Linked DNA regions of Yarrowia lipolytica. The protein of the gene in region 1 purifies or fractionates together with the protein of each later gene. This does not show direct contact. Links are inferred from orthologs where the notes say so. Each region holds a gene or a part of one and is shown on either strand. Other genes may lie near its edges.

Evidence for each region. Proteins that work in one complex are often made in the same cells at the same time.
Region 2: the proteins of YALI1_B01839g (region 1) and YALI1_F14712g purify together in Saccharomyces cerevisiae (affinity purification with mass spectrometry, with the first as the bait; 3 studies listed by BioGRID). This does not show direct contact. The link is inferred for Yarrowia lipolytica from reciprocal best matches to the Saccharomyces cerevisiae genes PWP2 and RPS13.

What each region holds. Positions count from the first base shown.
Region 1 is NC_090771.1:182,627-186,389, forward strand, and holds the start of YALI1_B01839g (uncharacterized protein), read left to right. Parts: upstream 1-1,325; coding exon 1,326-3,763. Other genes in the region: YALI1_B01826g (uncharacterized protein), read right to left, coding at 40-157. UniProt on the Saccharomyces cerevisiae protein: Required for bud-site selection and cell separation. Also involved in nucleolar processing of pre-18S ribosomal RNA.
Region 2 is NC_090775.1:1,470,365-1,472,589, reverse strand, and holds YALI1_F14712g (40S ribosomal protein uS15), read left to right. Parts: upstream 1-742; coding exon 743-977; intron 978-1,341; coding exon 1,342-1,562; downstream 1,563-2,225. Other genes in the region: YALI1_F14688g (uncharacterized protein), read right to left, coding at 1,872-2,225. UniProt on the Saccharomyces cerevisiae protein: Component of the ribosome, a large ribonucleoprotein complex responsible for the synthesis of proteins in the cell.

The DNA.
Region 1 (3,763 bases):
TTTCGACGCCGGAAATCGTCTAGTCAGCTCGAGACAAACCCAACGACACCCCGAACGGCCACATTATCTCCTCCGGGTCCGAACATGTCGCGCGGAATCTTGGGCGTCGCAGTTCTCCTGCACGTATACGGCAATCTGTAAACCTTATTTCCAACATGAGCCGAGGTACAACAACAGCAACAGTGGATATTGTGGTCTCAATGTTGCTCGAAATCACTAGATATCAAAGCTGGAAGTTTCTGGAACAATAATTAGTCTCCAGGATAAATTTCACGTTATCAGCTTTCGAACTAAAAAAGTTAGACCATCGTCTAAACTTAGCAGTGATGGAAGTCTACAATACCGATTTTGGGGACCTGATAGTGGTCGGAGAAAGATAAAAATGCCACCATTGAACTCTCCGCAAGCCAGGGAGTATTTTGATATAATTATATAAGCCATAAAGCCACTGGATCAAAAACTACCAGACTCCTAATTCCACACAACCATCCCAGACTAATGTCGCTAGTGGGGACCCTGAACGTGATTGCAAAAGGGCGTGGCGGAGAAGAGATGAATCACGGGACTTGAACAAGGAGTCGAGAGCTTTTTTCTCTGCGAGTCTGATGGTTCTTTTAGAATTCCTATGCGTCCATTATTCGTCGAGTTGGTCTTGACCGGTTCACTATTGGATGGGGCTAGAGTACTGATCCAGCAAGATCCATCTATATCCACGAATAGTGCTCCGATTGGACTCGGAAGAGGGTCATTATGTTTCTATGGTTGGCGGGATCAATACTACGATTGTTTCCGTTGATGTCATTGGCTATTTGTACTGTGTTTATGCGATCATTGGTTAGTGGTCCTACAGAGTCCATTCACAGTGGCCAGTGCGATCCAAACATGTTCACAATCACCACAAATGTAATTCAAACGTATCATGTCGTTGAGAATCATCCGGAGACCACAAAATGAGGTACATCTTTCCCATTTCTCTTTTCTACCAACCACAACGAGTGACTTCAATTCACGCTCATTTATTTCGATTTATTTAAATAAGATTTTTCACTGAAAAATATTGCCACTCTGACTCTTCCGGCCCAACATTGCAACGACAACTCCCACAGAAAATCCAAACATATCATTTTGTTCGTCTCGACGAGAGTAACGCAATGATACCCTTCAACTCTCTCCGACGTGCTCCCCCCTCAGGCACAGATTATGACCTCTTCCGCCCTCCCCCAAACCTTGTTTAAAAAAAATCGAAATCGTGCATATTTTTTCTACTCACACAACTCCACCCAGACAACAGAACCACCTAGACACATTTCCCGTACTACACAGACATGAAGGCGGACTACAAATTTTCGAATCTGTTGGGGACCGTGTATCGGCAGGGAAACCTGGTGTTTACGCCTGACGGCACGGCGCTGCTTTCGCCGGTGGGCAACCGGGTGTCGTATTTCGATCTGGTGAAGAACACCTCCTTCACGTTCCCGTACGAGCACCGGCGCAACATCACGTGCATTGCTCTGAATGCGCAGGGCTCGCTGATGCTGACAGTGTCGGACGACGGCAAGGCGATTCTGGTCAACTTCAAGCGACGGACGGTGATCCATCATTTCAATTTCCGCGACGTGGTGTCGGACGTTCAATTTTCGCCGGACTCGCAGTACTTTGCCATCAACATTGGTGCGCGGCTGGAGGTGTGGGCGATCCCCAGCGACACAAACAGCCGCTCGTTTGCGCCGTTTGTGCGCCACAAGCGCTACGAGGGCCATTTTGCCGAGATCACGTCGATTACGTGGTCCGACGACTCGCGGTTCTTTCTGACCACGTCCAAGGACTTGACGTGCCGCGTGTGGTCGCTGATGGATAAGGACTCGGGCGCCGCAGCAACGCTGGGCGGTCATCGAGACACCATCACCAACGCCTTCTTTTCGCAGGACCAGGAGACCATCTACACGGTATCCAAGGACGGCGCCTGTTTCGAGTGGGCGTATGACGATAACGACGACGGTGACGACGGCTTTGTGGGGTGGAAAATCAAAGACCGGCACTACTTCCACCAGCAGTCGGTGCTCAAGTGCTCGGCGTTCCACGCCAAATCGAACATTCTGGTGGTGGGGTTTGCCAACGGCACCTTTGCCATGTACGAGCTGCCGTCCATGACGCAGATCCAGACCATGTCCGTGTCTCAGCACGGCATTGACTTTGTTACCATCAACTCCACGGGAGAGTGGATGGCGCTGGGCGCGAGCAAGCTGGGCCAGCTGCTGGTGTGGGAGTGGCAATCCGAGTCGTACATTCTCAAGCAGCAGGGCCACTTTGACTCTATGAACTCCCTCGTGTACTCTCCGGACGGCAGCAAGGTGGTAACCGCGTCGGAGGACGGCAAAATCAAGCTGTGGGACACCTCGTCGGGGTTCTGCCTGGTCACGTTCACCGAGCACTCGGCAGCGGTCACCGCCCTGGAGTTCTCCCGCAAGGGCAACGTGTTGTTTTCGGCGTCCTTGGACGGCTCCGTGCGCGCCTGGGATCTCATTCGGTACCGCAACTTCCGCACCTTTGCTGCCCCCGAGCGAGTCCAGTTTTCGTCCCTGGCCGTGGACCCCTCCGGCGAGGTGGTGTGCGCTGGCTCGCTGGACAACTTTGACATCTACGTGTGGAGTGTGCAGACAAGCCAATTGCTGGACACGCTGGCCGGACACGAGGGTCCCGTCTCGTGTCTGTCTTTTGGCGCCGAAATCGCCAACGCGTCAATTCTGGCCTCCGCGTCGTGGGACCACACGGTGCGGGTGTGGAACATTTTTGCGCGTACGCAGACGGTGGAGCCGTTCCAGCTCACGTCGGACGTGCTCCAGGTGGTGATGCGGCCCGACTCCAAGCAGCTGTCGGTGTCCACACTCAACGGCGAAATCTCCGTGTGGGACATTGAGGAGGGCAAGCAGGTGGGTAGCATTGATGGAGCCAAGGACATTAGCGGTGGGCGGCACTCGTCGGACCGGTTCTCTGCCAAAAACTCGGCGCGCTCCAAGTACTTTACCTGCATGACCTACTCCGCCGACGGCAAGTGTCTGATTGCCGGCGGCAACTCGCGGTTCATTTGCCTGTACGACGTGCAGTCGGGCGTCTTGCTCAAGCGGTTCGAGGTGTCGCGAAATATGTCTCTGGAGGGCACTCTAGACTACCTCAACTCAAAGAACATGACCGAGGCCGGCGCTCTGAATCTGATCAACGACCCAGACGGGTCCGACTGGGAGGACCGCGTGGACGACACTCTTCCGGGCGTGGTTCGCGGCGACAAGTCCAAACGACGCACCCGGCCCGAGATTCGTACCACCGGCATCAAGTTCTCGCCCACCGGTCGCCAGTTTGCTGCAGCCTCCACCGAGGGTCTGCTCATGTACTCCATCGACGACGAGCTCATGTTCGATCCCTTTGATCTGGACGTGGACGTGACTCCCCAGACCACGATGGAGGCGCTGGAAAACAAGGAGTATCTGATTGCGCTGGTCATGGCCCATCGACTGAACGTTCCGCGGCTCATTCAGCGTGTCTACGAGTCCATTCCCGTCGACACCATTGAGCGGGTCGCGCGGGGACTTCCGGTCGTCTATCTCGAAAGGTTTCTGCGATTCCTGGCCTCTGCAACTGAGGCTACTCCCCATGCCGAGTTCCATCTGCGGTGGATCAAGGCCGTGATTACCGCGCATGGGCGGCACATGGCCCAGCGCAAGCACGAGTACGCCCAGGTGTTGCGGGCGGTGCAGAAGTTTGTCAC
Region 2 (2,225 bases), on another chromosome or scaffold:
GTGAGACAGTTGCCAAAGACTCTAAAAAGGGCTAAAAACAGCAGTGTGAAAGCATACAGGATGTGGTGATTGTATCTATAAGAAGATACTATTGCAACTGTCTATGTTGAGGGACAGATTACTTGTACGGGGGTGTCTGGTAGCTACAGTTCGATGCATGTATGAACAGGCTTATGCAAGAGTCTGGATCATAGTGTACATATTACAAGTATGTACAGTACACTGTAGTACATACTGTATTTGTGACAGGTGCCCCTACTCTTGTCGTATATATTGTTCTCATTGCTGACTTGTCTACACTATAGTCTCTACCGATCTCTGTGGATGTGTTGAAGTATATACTCTTCACCTGTAGTCATATCTGGATGTTGGCCAAGATCTCAACTTTTTTGCAACATTCGTAACTTGTCCTCAACTATACCATAGATCACCACCCATTTTTATTTCCCACCACTCATATCTGTTACCCTTCCTCCTGTGGCTTGGACTTTTCACACGATTTTTTTATTTTATTTTTTATCTCCTGAATTATATTCATGACATAGTATAAATTAAGCTTTTTAGTCATCCCCTTTTTTCCTCTGCTCACGTGCATCTCCCAATACTACCAATAAACTTTTCACATGACTGTCCCAATCGGGAAAGACAGTCACACTCTTCCACTCACACCTCTCCCAACCACGGTGGTAAAAACCCAGCTGAACTTTTCACTTTCACCATCTCCACAACAAACTAATCAAAAATGGGTCGAATGCACAGCAAAGGAAAGGGAATGAGCGCCTCCGCCATCCCCTACTCTCGAAACGCTCCTTCTTGGTTCAAGCTCACCCCCGACGCTGTCGTTGAGCAGATCATCAAGTACGCTCGAAAGGGTCTTACCCCCTCTCAGATTGGTGTCCTCCTGCGAGACTCCCACGGTGTCTCCCAGGTCAAGGTTGCCACTGGTAACAAGATTCTGCGAATCCTGAAGTCCAACGGTGAGTATTAATGGTTATTGGTATTAACACAGAGGTTGTGGTCCTGTTGGAAATGGAACAAAACGGGTTGAATGGTTTTTGCCGAGCTCAAATGGATATGACCATCCGCTACTGCTCGTCAAAGACCTTCTTCAAGTTAACTCCGTTTAACGAAAGTGCAAGTTTTGATGTGTTGTACGTCTCTTTCGTGCAACTCATACTACTCACTTTAGTCAACGCTACAACATGTAGAATCGTGGAAGAACATAGTACTCGTCAAACAGTGTGATTACTGCAGACGACACCATTTGTCTCCACACAGGTAACCAGAACCTCTGATTGGTTGTTTGAGAAATTACACATTTTGAACACTGCTGACAGAGAGGCCTTGCCCCCGAGATTCCCGAGGATCTCTACCACCTTATCAAGAAGGCTGTGTCTGTGCGAAAGCACCTCGACAAGAACCGAAAGGACGCCGACTCCAAGTTCCGACTCATTCTCATCGAGTCTCGAATCCACCGACTTGCCCGATACTACAAGTCTGTTGGTGTTCTGCCCCCCACCTGGAAGTACGAGTCCGCCACTGCTTCCGCTCTTGTCAACTAGAGTGTTTAGTGGTTGTACTTTACATAAAAATGAAAATGCATTAGCGCCTATTTATCATCAGGACGAAATACGAGAACGTAGTTCGAGTGTTTCCGACTCTATCTACCATGCTGTAAAAGAAGTGAGAACAACGTCCGAACAACCATGAGAGGAAGTAAACATGTGAGGATACCAGAACCTCCGGTCGAGTCGACCTAAAAGAATCTCCACTACTTGTACTTTACATTCTTCAATAATTCGGTTGAATCACTATTTACTATACTATACTACATACTATACATCTCCTTCAGTCCGTGCGACAGTGCGCACTTATTGAGCCTTGGGCTTGTAGCCAATCGCCTCAAGTCGCTCCAGCAGCAGAGGATGGGATCGGTGGTACGAGTTGTACAGCCAATCGCCGTCGTAGTTGCTGAGGTTCTCCTGGTGGATGGTGATCAGACTCTTGGCCAGAGCATCGCCATAGCCAAGGTCCTTGGAGAACTGGTCGGCCTCAAACTCGTTCTTTCGAGACATGCCGTTCATCAGGAAGGTGACACCGTACTGGATGGGGCTGATGACCTGCAGATAAAGGGTGTTGAACAGGTAGGCGGCGGGTCGGTCGTTGCTGAAGAAGCCGAGAGAGGTGTAAAAAGAGTCGTTGTGAGCAAACGCCAGGAATCCAAG